Drosophila melanogaster: one gene and its partner. Changing the gene in region 1 together with any one later gene gives a genetic interaction. Each region holds a gene or a part of one and is shown on either strand. Other genes may lie near its edges.

Region 1 (7,013 bases):
GCGTTCGCCTCACTTTTGCTAAATAAAAATAATAATCTATAATTAAATATTTTAAAACTACCCCCAATGTGCACCTTCAGGCGTTTACCAACACCAACAACCAAAATAAGATGACTCCGCCGCACAAAAAGCATAGATTAAGTGAAGTTAAAGCCAAGATTCAGCAAGTTATATCGAGTTTGGGGCAACTGGAGCAACAGAGCTGTGGAGCAGGTCGCGATTTCGATGTGCACCGGGCGGAGGAGCTGCAGCGGAGCACGGCAACCCTGCTGGATGAACTTGACCAAGTACCGGGCCAACAAGTAGTCGACGAACAAAAACAAAGAAAACGCCGGCGACGCTTATATAGACGAAGCCAACATCGGGTGATACGTGCAACCGTCAAATCTGAGGCTGCAGAACAGAAGTTCTCCATAGAACCGCCCCGAAATACCGCACTGGAACAAGCGAAGCACATATCCCTGCGAAAACAACGCGATGCTGCCTCCATTTTGGAGACCTTTGATCTTCTGGAGAAACTTTGCGAGTCTCGTGGAGGAGACAGAGCCGCCCTTTGCCAAAAACTGACCCACATGCGTCTTGTTTGGCGCAGAGTCCAAGAAGAGACTCAAGCTGGCCATGTCAAGGAGTCCAAGAAGGTGGCTTCACTTGAATCTCAATGGAAGGCTGTGTTCTTCGGCCGATCCTTGCCAACTCCCAAATTAAATAAGGGGAAATTTCTTGAAATTCGGTATGTCTAGGGAAATGCATTGTCCGGCGGGAGCTCCCTTTTAATTGCATCGCTTTTTCCAGCTCCACATGGGATTCTTACATAAGCTACTGTGGAAGAGGCTCCTCTATACCCAGAGGATGGGTGCTACCGCCAACAAAGCCTACAGCTCAGTGGATAGGCTATCGACTATCCTTAACTTAATATCATAGAAACCTTTCCAAAGCTCACACTCCTTATAAAGAAGCAAGATTATATAGTAATTATTGTGGAATTTTATTTCTTTAGAAGAATCAATCTGTATTCAGCTTAGACGAGGGCAGACAGTTAAAGTAGCCGTCTATTCGTAGATCCAGTCCTTGGCGGCCGGGGTCCAGGTGACCAGCTCCTTTTCGTTGAACCACAGGGCGATCTCCTTCTCGGCAGACTCGACGGCATCGGAGCCGTGGATGATGTTGCGTCCGACCTGAATGCAGAAGTCACCGCGGATGGTGCCGGGCAGCGAGTCGGCGGGGTTGGTGGCGCCGAGCATCTGGCGACCGGTCTTGACCACATTCAGACCCTCCCACACCATGGGCACCACGGGGCCGGAGTTCATGTAGTTCACGAGTCCGGGGAAGAAGGGGCGGGCGGACAGATCAGCGTAGTGCTTCTCCAGCAGCTCCTTGGAGGCCTGGTTACAAAACGGTTCGTTATCAGTTAATTGCAGTTCTGACCTCTAAACACATGTCATTCCGCGATGACGCCTGCACCCAGCCTTTGAGGTTAGGTCCGATGGCAACCCCGCGTGGGGCAACCCGTTTCCACGTATTTATATCTATTGATTTCTTCCTAATTCAATTATCCGCTTACCCAGGTGAACTTCAGGGCGACCAGCTTGAAGCCCTTCTGCTCGAAGCGCTCGATGATCTTGCCGACGAGCCCGCGCTGGACGCCATCGGGCTTGACCATGATGAAAGTCCTCTCCTTGTTAGCCGCCATTGTCGCCGAGATTACAGAAAAGAATGCCAAAATTGTGCCGAGCATCAGGAGCTTCATGTGTTCGCCGTTGCAAAAAAATCCCGAATACGAAATGCCGGCAAGGTGAATTGTGGGAAATCGTCAAGTGGTCACACTGGGCAGCCAGCCGCGTTCTTGAGTTTTTGTTTTTGTTGGGCGATTTAAAGGATAGGAAAATACTTGTTATTTAAATTCCAAAGCGGAAATTTGAGTGCATTGCTAAAGTATTCATATTTTTTTCAGTTTATAACCGCTCAAATGGGGCTGCCATGTCGCCTTGTACTTTGAATTTCAGAATGTATTCTGAATGCATTTCATCGAATAATTTAAAGCAAAAATAACGAAAACTCAATAGTATTATTTTTAATTACTAGACACATTAAAACATTTAAAAAAAAACAAAGAGTTGCCCACAGTTGATGATAAAATGCCCGTCAAACTAGGATAGTTACTAGGCACTCATTAGCATCAGCATTCCCACCAGTTGATTCATCCATCCAGCAGGTTAATCAAAAACCACAGGGAAGTCACGTTCAAATTTCTTTTTATGTCTCGATAAGATTAGGTCCATGTGATCACAGAAGTGACAAAACAATACAAGTTTACGACTAATATATACACAGCTGGTAGATGCAAATGTTCGGCGAAAATCACTTGGTCGCGTCTAGTTTGGCTAGGCCGTCGGCATATTGGAACTCCGGACTGTTCTCGTACTCGCACATGTCCAGGGCGATGACGCAGCTCTCCTTGACCACGCGCTTGTCGTCCTCGGCGTAGCGGTTCAAGATCTGAATGCAGTCCTCTGTGGCGATGGCGCCAAGGGCCTCGGCACACTCGTGACGCACCATTTCGTTTTCCAGGCGATCCTCCAGATTCTCTTGAAGGAAGGGAATGCTGCAGGGTTCTTGCAGCTGGCCCAGTACGAAGGCCACCTCGTGGCGGAAGAGGGCGGAAGAGTCCTTAAGTCCCTCGGCAATGGCCAAGACACTCTCTTCGGTGCGCAGATTGCGCAGGCTGAACATGGCCCTATATCGATCGAACAGGCTCTGCTGGGCATCCAGATAGATGGCCTTCAGCTCGGTGACGCTCTTGTCGCCCGCAGTTGGCGGTGAGGGATCAACGGAGGCGTAAGGGTTGCTGTCATCTACCTTTTGGCCACTCTGCAGCCAGCGGACGCGGTCCAGAGCAATGGCACATGTTTCGGCCACCTCCACTACCGGATCTTGTTTGTACTCCTCCAGAATTGGCAGCACATCTGGATGACCAATGGCGCCCATGGCCTCCGCAGCCTCGTGGCGCACCATCGGCTCCTGGGTGGTGTCCTTTAGCACCTTGGTGAGGATGTCTAACGCCTGTGCGTCCTGCATCTGACCCAAGCAGTAGGCCAGCTCATGTTTGAGAAGGGCCGAATCATCGTCAAAGGCTTTGCTGATCGCCTCGATGGCCGCTCCTCCGCCGATGTTCTTCAGCGTGAAGAGGGCTCGAAAGCGCTCTTTCAGTGGGCGTTCCTTGTTGTTCAGAACGCCTCCAATGGCCTCGATTTGCTGCTGCGAAACCATTTGTATGCGGTGTGGACTTATAAATAAAAAACTGCAACGGGCCGCGTGTGGTGTCGCAATGTGGCCATACACTCAGTACTTGGTAATACCAAAACTACAAGTAATCGATATGACGTGGCTATCGATGGACTATGAGTCGATGAAACGGCGCTGCCAACGCGTTTAGAGTACAAATTGTGCAGCACTAGCAAGAAGCAGTTTAGTTACGTTTACTCCGTAGAAGCGCGATACAAAAAAGTCAATAAAAGGGTGAAAAGCGAACGTTCTAGACACAGAAAGTATTCAAAAATACTGACTCAGTCCTGGCGCAGCATCGGTGACCAAAAGAGCGGCTCTTCACGGTGAAAAGTTTCCGCAAAATCGGCATTTCTGAAAGTTGCGCGTTCACGGTATGCGAAGCGTGGCGTGTGTGTCGAGTTGAGTTACCTGTAATTGTGTGCGCCTGCGAGAGTGGAAGTGGAGTAAACCTCGCCACCGTTTTGAAGTTTTGGAAAGATATAGGGATAACCGCCCAGCGTTTATTTTAAACAATGTCGGAGGCAACTGTGGCCCAAAAGCCGGAGGCGGTGGAAGATGTGAATGCGTCGACGGGGGACGAGAAGCAGACTCCCGTAAGTAGCCGCACATACACATATTTAGCGACAATTAACATAGCACGGCGATAACGCACACCAACACGGGCTCCGCTTTGCTTTGCCCGAATTATCTGCGGTATTTTTCCAAAATAACTGTGTGTGTATATGGGCACTCGGATGTGGTGCATTTTCACCATTTCCCTTTGTGCGCTGTGTCCGTTTCTATTTACGTTTCTTTTTTCAACGGCTACCCTCGTGTGCGCGCGCTTTTTGCTTTTTCCTGTCCACTTTCCAACTCCCCCTTCCCCCGCCTGCTGAGGAAGCCAGCAGCATGTGTGCGTGTGTGTATACGTGTGTAGCTACTCGCCGAAGAAGAAGAGAAGAGGAGATGACGAGAGAAGCAGGGCAATCGGCGATTCCCTTTCAGGCTCACGTTTTGCCGCTGCCGCCGCGTCTCGTTTGTTTTTATTTTTGCTTGTTCCCTTTTCGACTTTTTGTTGTTTGCTGTACTTTGTCATACAAGGCGGCACGAACACTTGCATCCGCTCCGCGGTGTTGTGCATGTGTATGTATGCGATACGTTGCGCTCTAGATTCGGTTCCATTTTTTAGCGGCGACTTTACTAATAGATATACGTACGTACACATCGATGTCTAACTCAACTCCTCCGATCGACAGCTATTAATGTGGGGGTTCATTTGGGGTCTGTTGTGTGAATTCAGCTGCAAGCGGGTCGATGCGGGTGCAATTGCTGCGGTCACTTGGCCATGTCAACAATAGTACAGTGCGCACTTGGATTTAAACGCTTAATTATTGCCGATAAGAGTTTAAATATAAATACATGATTCTGTTTCTTCTATATAATTGTATTTTTGAGTCACTAATAAAGCGCCGTGGTTTCAGCCCATCTTGCACATGTTTTGGTGTTATAGGGAATGCACTTTTAACTACAATGTTTCATATGACGAAACATTAGTGAATCAGAAAAATATGGAATATCAGGTATATTAAAAAAATAAAAAAAAGGCGTAAAATAGCATCTTCATTCCCTCAAAGACAATTGCGTTTTGGCGGGAAATCAAACTTACAAAAGTAGCACTACTGCTTATGTATACTGAAATATAACTTACCGAACCCGATCTCTCCTCTATTACAGAAACGCACTCCCAAACGCCGCTCGTTCATTGAGCGGGCGCAGAAGGAAAGCGAGGAGCTTGTGCGAACAATGGGCGGAAGCCTGGAGCTGGCGGGCGGGCGGCGGACGCGGTCTAGCACTCGAGGAACGCCGACGCGAGCCGCCGAGGCAGTGACGCCGCCACCCAGCAAAAAGGCGCGCACTTCGCCGGCCTCGGCCACAAAGGCCAGTGCAGGAAAGGGACGCGGAGCACGTAAGCTAGACGTAGGCGCTGATGAGCCCGAGCCTGAGCTGGAGAAGGAGAAGGAGAAGGTACAGACCTCGGTCAAGGGAAAGGTAAGCGAATTATCTGGTCTTATTATCATTGAAAACTAAATAAACAAGCTTATTTTAAGGGAGCTGTCAAGAAGGACAAGAAAGAGGTCAAGAAGCAGGAGAAGGCAACTGAGAAATATGCGCCGGAGGAGGCAAAGGAAGATGTAGCTGAGGCAAAAGAGGAAGACGCCAGTCCCGCCGGGGTCCAGGACCAACCGGATGGTGTGGAGAATCTTCCTTCAGTGGCGGAAGCGAAGCAGAATCATGTCGATGAAGTCAAACCAATATCAGAAGAACCTGGGAATTCAAGCGAAGAGGTGCCAAAAGCTGAAGAGCCCCTCAAGTCGAGCGGAGAAACGTCGGAGAATGGAGCCGCTACAGAGACTGCCGCTGCACCTAAAGAACCTGCTTCTGTTATGGATGTGGACGAAGATGAGACGCTCGTCGAAAACACACCATCCGCAAATAAAGAAAAGGCATTAGATGACGAAAAAGAACCAGAACAGAAGTCAGAGGAACATGCAGCAGCAGTTTTGGAGTCCAAGGAGCAAAATGAGCCAGCCAAGGAGCCCACACCAGAACCTATGGAAGTGGACGGAAGTTCGAAGGGCAGTTCGGACACCGCTCAAGTAGACACACCAGCCATCGAAAACGTTTCTGCCGCTCCAGAAACAGAAGCAGCAGCAAAGACTACGGAGTCTAGCAATGATGTGGTGGAAGTGGCCACAGAGGGCAAAGAAACAGTTTTAGAAGTGCCCGCTGCCGAGCCCAAGGAAGCCGAAAGCACTGTAGAGTCCGCGGAAGAGCTTACGGAAACCAGCACCGTGGTGGTGACTGAGCCGAAGGAAGCCGCCAGCAGCGAAGAGGAGCCTAGCAAGGTTGTGGACTCTGCGGAACCCAAGGAGGCAGAGAGCAATACGGATGAGAGCGCCACGCCCGTTCCTATTGATGTTTCTACCGCCCCCGCATCCAATGATGTCAGCAAGCCCTTGGAAATCGATACAACCTTGGTTAAGACTGCCGACAGTCCTGCAAAGGAACCACAGGAAATCTGCGAGGTCAAGAAGGCCGAAATTAATGTAAATGGTAAGCTGGAAATACCTTGTTAATCATGGACTCAATTAATACCAAGTCTCTTTCCAAGGTGAGCCCAAGATCGTCAACAGTTCCGCCGAGGTGGGCGAGAATGCTGCGCCCAAAGTGTGTAACTAAACCAATCCCACCGATGGACAATCAACAACTTTAATGCGTTGCAGATGTGTAAAAAAGCGTCTTCATCTCGCCCGCCGAGTTGGTCTGATGTTGCCAACTACATGCAAACATTTAAGAGTTCCCCCAAACAAAGCTACAATATTCTTTTTTAATTGATAACTTGATTTCGTACTCCGAAATCCCTTAACTTTGATAATAGTTCGCGTCCTCCAGTATTTGGTTGACGCGAAGGACGCCATAGGCTGCAATCGATGCTGGACTTTCAATGCTGCGGTGTGTGCGTCAGCTGGACAGAAAAACAAAAAAAAAAAGTACCCTAAGACCCTCCCACCCACTCCCCCCGAAATGCACAGACAGATTGTAAAATGCATCTTAATATAATATGTATGTGGATAATTAATCAAATTGGAATCAAACAAATTATACATTAACGGAAAATGTATGTAAAATAGATGTTTTTAAATTGTAAGCCATTAATATCCTTAATTATAAAACCAATTGGACAACAC
Region 2 (7,478 bases), on another chromosome or scaffold:
CATGCATTCGTAAATGCAACGCAGGAAACCCAGGCGGAAAATGTGACCGAAAGCATTCTCCAGTAACGAAAACTGAACACTTTCTTATCAAGCATGTGCTTTTTGCGGGGCATGTGCGAATTGTTTACTTCTCATTTAATGGAAAGACCTTCCAAATATATAATTGTTTTAACAATGCAAGAGTTCTGCACATTGTTTTCTGCCTAATAGGAATTCAACTGTTAAACCGAACTAAGAAAGATTTTCCTATTGCGTTGCTTAATTGGCAAATCTACTCTGCTGAATTGATGCAATATTATGCACTTCTAGTTTTCCTCTTGTTTAACATTTAGCTAGCCTATCTGAAATCGCATTCACGGCCGCATTGAGCTCGAAAGTAAAATTCTGTCCGATTGGGTCAATTATTACAGACTGTATCGCGTACAATTTATTAATTCTGTTTAAAAAACTGTTTATTCCGCGGGGACTTCAATGGAGCCCTCGTTCAGTTCGTCAATAACATCGTGAGGGTGCTTTCCGTCAACGGTGCAGCCGACGCTCTGGGCGGTTCCCAGAACTTCCTTGCAGGTTCCCTTCAACTCACGGGCCATGGACCTGGGCCTCATCACGCGGGCGATGGCCAGAATGTCTTCGAAGCCAATGTTTCCACTGTGCTTGACTGTAAATTAAGAATATCTGCTGTTAATCGGGGGATCAAGCACAGAACCATCCAGTGCATGTGGGCACAGTGCGGTGGAAGCAAAGCTCCTCATTATCCACCACAGCCCGGCACAGGCATTGGAAGTCCAGTCCAGGATTGCCGGGCAATACTCACTGTTCTTCTGCTTCTTGCGGTCACGTGGGGGTTCCTTCAGAGCCTTGATGATCAGCGAGGCGGCGGAGGGAACCACGGAGATGGCGGCCTGTCGGTTCTGGATGGTCAGGCAGACGGTGATCTTCAGACCCTTCCAGTCGGAGGTGGCCTTGGCGATGTCATCACCGATTTTCTTGGGCGACTACAGAGAGACACTTTTGTTAGCGCGAATTGCACAAGTAAACAAACCGATTTGCATGCTTACCAGACCGAGGGGACCGATCTTTGGGGCCAGGGAGGATGTGGCACCGACTTCTCCGCCCACGCAACGCAGGTACACTGTAATTTGGGTGCAGAAATTCGTTATTGAAGATAATCCTCTATTATAAACTACGGTTTGCTCGAAGCTCAACTCCTCACAAAAACACTCGCTTACTTACCCAATTTAACTTCCGTTGGGTCGAATTTGGGAGGCATAGCGGTATCTTGGCTTGAACAGTCGCTGTAAGGCAAAGATTACGTTAGTTTTCGCCGATTTTATTTGAGACATTTTCAGCTCATGTACTTTACCGCAAAAAAGACACACAGAAAAAGAAAGAAGAAGCTATCGATTTCCGGGAGGACCGTTTGCAAGTGATGTATCGCCCAGTGCTATCGGAATAAAAAGTGTCTCGAATGGAACGCGGAATTGAAACGAGTGTAATGAGTTTATATTTTTATTTATTCTTAATTTGAAATTAGGCTTTAAGAAATCTTTTTTTTTTGTTGAAAATGTTAAATACTAGTTGATATATTTTAAGTTTAATTAAAATTCAGATTTACATTTTTTTAACTACATTTCATAGCGGTCGTTGTAAATATTTTTATCTTCTTGTTAGTTCAGTTAGTTCAATTTTGTTAGTTCAATCTAATATTTATTTATGATTATGCAAGTAATTTATATCTGCTAGCTGAAGAAATACTTATTTGAATTTTCTCTATCAACTTACTAAACCGATTTACAAGACAATTGGTATATCGATTGATTGGCATTTGGCTTAAAAAATTATCGATTATTCTTCTAATCTTACAACTTATGAAAATTGTTTTTATTGTTTTTGTACTTTTACTTGACCTTTCCGAAAGTCGGTACATCAATGTTGAAATGTTATTTAACAACGGCATTTAAACCGTACATATGTACATGTACATACATAAATTGGTACTATACGAAATTCCGACCTGCCTCAAACAATATGCCTCCTCCATTCTCTATATCCGAGTACCTTATCTTTTTCAGGATACACTACACTTTTAAATGGGGTGTAGCAAAGCTCAGTAGCGTTGTCAATAATACAAGTTCATCTTGTACCCATTCAAAACCGGTAGCGTCACCCCATCTGGTTCCCGCCGTTTACCATCACAATGCTAAGTGACGCCATTCATTCGTGCGTCCAGACCAACATTTTGTTTACTTTTCCCATTTAGCTGTGCGAATTAGAATAAAGTTTGCTGAAATAAAGAGCTTAAACCCAATGAAAAACAGGAGAATCATAGTTTTACGGATGACGTTTAGGTAAAAAATTTTATTGGCAAACGTGTATCTTGTTACTTAGTTATTCAAACATGATGCTTCGAGTTTCTGTTATATTAATTACAATCGTTAGAACCAGATTTAAGATGTAGAGCCAACTAGCCTATAACAGCATCTTTGAATAAATTTGTTTCAGATGTAAATGCAACAGAAATTTACAGCGACACATTTTGCCTATTTGTCCAGAGCAGTATTGGTTTTAATTGCGATAACGCACTCCTCTCCGCACGCCTTGAGAACGGTGCACTGAAAAAGTATAATTAAATTATTCTCTGCGAAATAATAATATGGTGTCGAGGCAAACTCACCAGTAAGTCCTTGCCACTATCAAAATCTAAACGCAATTGTTCACCCAATTCGCCCTCTGGAACCTTCAAGTCTTCACGCAGATCTCCGCTCTCGGTCATCAATGTAAGGAAGCTATCGTCACTAATAGCAATCAACTGAAGGTCCTCCCTTTTGACATTGGGCACATCCATGTTATGAGTAGATGGGCAAATATCTTCATATCTGCAAAGACGACGATAGACAAAGCAGGCGTTAAGTAAGAGGATCTGGATTTGGCTTGAGGTGGCGTCGCCGCGTTGAACTCTAATTTTCCTCCATAAATTTATTGATAACTTTGGTCCAAGATAAGATTGCTTGCGCACACTTTTCGTTGATTACATTCAAGAGCAGCGCGTCGCTTCCTTTGTGTTCTCCGCAAATGCTGCTGCCACCAGATAGGAAGAAATATGCGAATATACTCACTTCTTGTTAGAGAAAATATCAATGCCAACCATATGAACCTTGGCGTGTCCGTGCTTTCCAGTCTTTGAAGTAGACATCTCGACAATCTTGCATGGCCGCGACTTCAGCATGACGAATCCGTTTTTGCGCAATGCCGAACATTGCATGGGATAGGTCGTCGATGCGCCGGAATCCGTGGTCTCGAATTGATCGTCCAACTCAGCCATATCTGCCGCACAAGACACAAGATGTGATTGAATTAATTATTTATCTATTTAATTAACTGCCGATTAATTGGGATTTGAATGCATTTACACTTAGGCACAAAGACACTAGCTGGTGTTGAAAGCACATTATATACCTCGGCGTTCTATGGGTACATACAGACACAGACGGATTCGCACATATGTATGTAAATACGTGTGTGTGCAAGCCGAAAAAATGCATACATACGTATGTATATATGTGTCGGCAAATGTATGTATCCGAAATGTCATATGCCAAATTGCATACCCAGGCACTTGGCACTTTAGTGTTCAAACATTTAATTTGGCAAAGTCATCGAGACACACGGCACTTGAAAGTTGTGTACTGCATTTTTGCACTTGTATGTGTGTATGTGTGCTTGTGTGAGTGTAAGCACTTTCTTTCGCATATTACTGAATGTGCCGAGATGACCGGAGGTTAATTCTGGCTTCCAAGCCGTTTTTGACCGTCTCCTCCGGCTGTAAGTGCCATTTAGGTCGTCCGCCGCTTCTCCGGCGAATTTGCAATTTTTTTATACACAAAAATGCGAAATTACTAACCTACTTGCAAAGTCCAGTGACTGTTCCAACCGAAGATGTAAAATGAAAGAACCCTGCTATCGAATCAAACCCACGTTTTGTTTCCGGTCAATAATAAGAAACGCACAGTGCTGCATCTTAGCACACGGATTGTCAGCACCGGTCGCTGTGCCAGTTTAGGAACTGTGGGAATGGAACGATAAGGCCGATGCCGTATTTTCGCCAAACTTACAATGGCCTGCCAACTCAGTCTTAAATTTGAAAACAACTATTTATAAGCTATATGTGTATGTATGTATGTATGTTGCAAGTAAACACTTAATTTTTTGTTTTATTATGTATTTGGTGCTTAAAATGTCTCTGTAAGTATAAATAATGGTTAAGACTTTAGTTTGCTCTGTTCATTTACACAATGTATACGCATGACTCGAAGACTATAGCAATTTACTGCTGATTTACTTTTTTAAAATAAACCTCAATGGGCAACGACGGTATGAAATTATCGTTTTCCAGGTGCGACATTTTTCTGGACCTTTGCGGCTTTGACCTTGCCTTAATATGGGGCTGCCTCATTTTTAAAGTACCACTGGAAATAGTCATAATTGCCGATTCTGTGACCAAAGCGTGTTTTTCTTCTGATATACCATCGGCGCGAGATTTTGCCAAAGTGTGACTTATCGCCTGCGTAGCGTTTCGAACGATAACATTATCATCGACCTTCGTCGATTTCCGGGGTGTTGCTGTTGTTCGGCGCTTAAGCTTTTTTATCGTTTCGATATCGGTATCAGCTGTTGTGTTTTTCGCGGCTTCTGGCATTGCAGTGGAGTTCAAGTGCTTGCGCCGTTGGTAAATTCTTTTCGGTAAACTCTTTTTGAATTCTCCCATGGCTTTGCTGGAATCTGTAGAATTTCTCGAAATCTGCACCGGAACCTTTTTGGTCGATGCCAAAACTCGCAGTTTTCTCAGTTTTCTATTGACGTTTGTTCTTCTTCTTGGCGGTGTGGGCGTAGTTGTTGTTGTAGTCGTTTCCAAAGTGGTGTGGTTGTCAAGAACAGCTGTAGTCGTTAGATTCTGAACGTTCTTCGGCGTTTCCCTAGTTGTAACCAGGTTTTTAAGATGAAGCTTCAAAAGTTTCAGTTTAGTTTCAATGCTTGAAGAGAAGTTTTTGGTCGCTTTCAGGGATTTTAGTCTGTGCTTATAGGATCCTGTCGTAACATTCGCCGTGGAATAGACGTTCTGAGCGGGTTGCGGAGTTGTCCATTTCGGGGGATCCTCAGAAGCCGCAGCTTCGGTTGTTGTGGTGCTGGAGGTAGTGGGGCTAAACCAGCTTGGTCGGGTGCTATATCTGTACTCCATTTCCAAAGCAGTGGTTTTCCCCGGAAAAGTGAATTCAGTGGTCGTGGTTGTTGTAGTTGGAGGCGGCGTGGTGTGCTGAAACCGCTCGGTGAAAAGCTCCTGGGGCCTTTCCGTTGTGAGAATTTGGTGACTGGGCCGAAATTGCTGGTCTTGTGCTGGAGATTTGCCGAGTTTCGATGCGGAATGGGGGAGAATCACGTCGTCAAGGGTGAAGTAGGTGTGCGCAACGTAGTTGAAGTAGGGCAAAGTGGTTGTCGTGGTCACCGGCAGGTCACTGGTCTTGCTCTGCGAGCTGTATTGGTCCTTGGCATACTCCTGGAACGGAATCTGGAGGCAGTTTTCGCGGCACTTGTTCCAGCCGTCGTTGGAGGCGTGGGTTTCGGAGTGGTTCCACAGACTCGGAGCGCCAATGAGGCGTTCTGCGCTCGGAAGGGTTCCCGTCGTGAGGGGCACGAAGGCGTTGACTGGGGCTGAACTGAAACCAATAGGTGCGTTTACCGGAGGGGAACTGTACTCAATCGTGTTGAGCGGGGCCGCAACGAAGTCAACGGTGGAAGTAGCAATGGGCAGGAGTGTGCTCTTGAACCCATTCACTTGGCTCAAGTCCCTGAAGATGCTCCTGAAAGAAATCCACTATGATTATACGTATGCACAAATGGATGATATGTGCGCTGATATAGACCTCTTCGAGTTCGCATAGGCCTCGTGGAACTGGACAGGTGAGGGCACGTATCGGGGCAGCATGTGCATGTTGCGCATGTAGTTTTTTAGACGCATTTTGCCCACCAGGATCGGGGTCCTAGCGTTGTACCAGTAGAACTTTCGCATGGCGTTCGGGTGCTGTCTATAGAGGACGATCCCTGGATGATCCACGGGCCACATCTGAAAGTCGATGCGGGCGTTCATACTTTCGCTTTTCCTGGCGTCGAATGCTTACCTGGCGTTTTGGCCTCATGTAGCTGGCGGATGACTTTATGCTCAGCAGTATGTACAGCAGTCCTGAAGCGAAGCGGGTGAGCTTAATTCGAATTTATTGATTTTAACCTCCATACCAGTGGTCATGTAAATGACAATAATGCTGCCTTTCACTTTCCCCAGCATCTTGAGCGATTGATTTTGGCTGCAGACAGTTCAAGACTAGCAGCATTGGTTTTTCATCCACATTACTTGCTACTTGGCTGGGAATCAAAGAGATGATCGACTTTTCAGGGATATATGCATTTGCCAGATCACTCACACTTGTGGTAAATGTGCATTTAATTTTCTTATTATATTTTATCCGCCTAGGTTCCCGAGTGAATGATTGTTGCCAAGTCAGTGCCCAGATGCTGCATCCAAATGGTGGCGTGTGTGCTATGGAGCATAAAACGCAACGCTTGGACAAGCCCATCTTCAGTTATAATTGTTGCATCTATATAGTTGGATACACTTTCAAAAGGTATGCACACTTTCGCAGCCCAACGAACCGATTCCCTCGCATCTTTGATACCCATTAGTGCATCTGAACATTGCGTGCAGTATGCAGTTGCATTTCAAAGCTACGAGTATGTTTTCTTCTTATCTCTCCATTAATCTAAACGACACGCTCGATTTGCATCAGAACTTGCGTGCATCCCTCCGTATTTAAATAAAGGATGGACATCATATATTTTCGAATTAGTCACGAAGAAATTGTGGAAAGGATTTCATGAATACGAAATGTGGCGGAAGTCAGTAATGAATTTTCGAGGATTTATAAGGTCTTTTGTGGAAAATAAAGGGTAAGAGTCAGCGATTCGAGGATATTGTCTACGGTTCGCAAAACCATCACTCTTTGCAGGCTGCTTTGGATTTTTGTGATTGGCATTTCTGGATGGAGCACCGTTTCCATATTGGTTCTATTGAAAACCAGATACGAAACGGACTCCACGACAATAGGGGTCTCGACCGCCTACAGTCGCTGGATAAACACCTTCCCATCGATAGGAATCTGCTTAACAAAAAGCCGAGCGTTTAACGAATTCAAGGCAATGATGCGGGAGTATTTTCAGGAAGACTTTGCCTTCTCCTTTACAAGAATGATATACGAATATGCTTTTCTCAACCCCAACAACATATTTACGAAGGAGCCTACCAAGAATACAAGTTACCCGTACAATTTCAATATTTTGGATATAAGAAGAAAGGTGTCGGTGTCGCATGGGGGGGGGGGGGACTTTGGATTATATTTGAACTAAATTACCATTTGCACTTCTAGATGTTT

What was found. Genes that interact genetically often act in the same process or in processes that back each other up.
Region 2: of nero (region 1) and eEF5, changing one enhances a phenotype caused by changing the other (phenotypic enhancement), as found in Drosophila melanogaster (one study listed by BioGRID).

What each region holds. Positions count from the first base shown.
Region 1 is NT_033777.3:31,744,209-31,751,221, forward strand, and holds nero (nero), read right to left. Parts: upstream 3,351-7,013; 5' UTR 3,268-3,350; coding exon 2,359-3,267; 3' UTR 2,237-2,358; downstream 1-2,236. Other genes in the region: CG1896 (uncharacterized protein), read left to right, coding at 111-730, 793-913; awd (abnormal wing discs), read right to left, coding at 1,050-1,382, 1,562-1,735; CG1910 (uncharacterized protein), read left to right, coding at 3,798-3,878, 4,999-5,313, 5,373-6,378, 6,437-6,504. UniProt on the Drosophila melanogaster protein: Catalyzes the hydroxylation of the N(6)-(4-aminobutyl)-L-lysine intermediate to form hypusine, an essential post-translational modification only found in mature eIF-5A factor.
Region 2 is NT_033778.4:24,054,330-24,061,807, reverse strand, and holds eEF5 (eukaryotic translation elongation factor 5), read right to left. Parts: upstream 4,011-7,478; 5' UTR 3,906-4,010; exon of another isoform or gene 3,902-3,905; intron 3,325-3,901; 5' UTR 3,323-3,324; coding exon 3,117-3,322; intron 2,877-3,116; coding exon 2,675-2,876; intron 2,613-2,674; coding exon 2,541-2,612; 3' UTR 2,526-2,540; exon of another isoform or gene 2,470-2,525; 3' UTR 2,325-2,469; downstream 1-2,324. Other genes in the region: RpL12 (ribosomal protein L12), read right to left, coding at 453-658, 815-995, 1,059-1,132, 1,234-1,270; CG13563 (uncharacterized protein), read right to left, coding at 4,325-5,855, 5,919-6,118, 6,174-6,235, 6,289-6,337; ppk29 (pickpocket 29), read left to right, coding at 6,935-6,996, 7,056-7,401, 7,473-7,478. UniProt on the Drosophila melanogaster protein: Translation factor that promotes translation elongation and termination, particularly upon ribosome stalling at specific amino acid sequence contexts.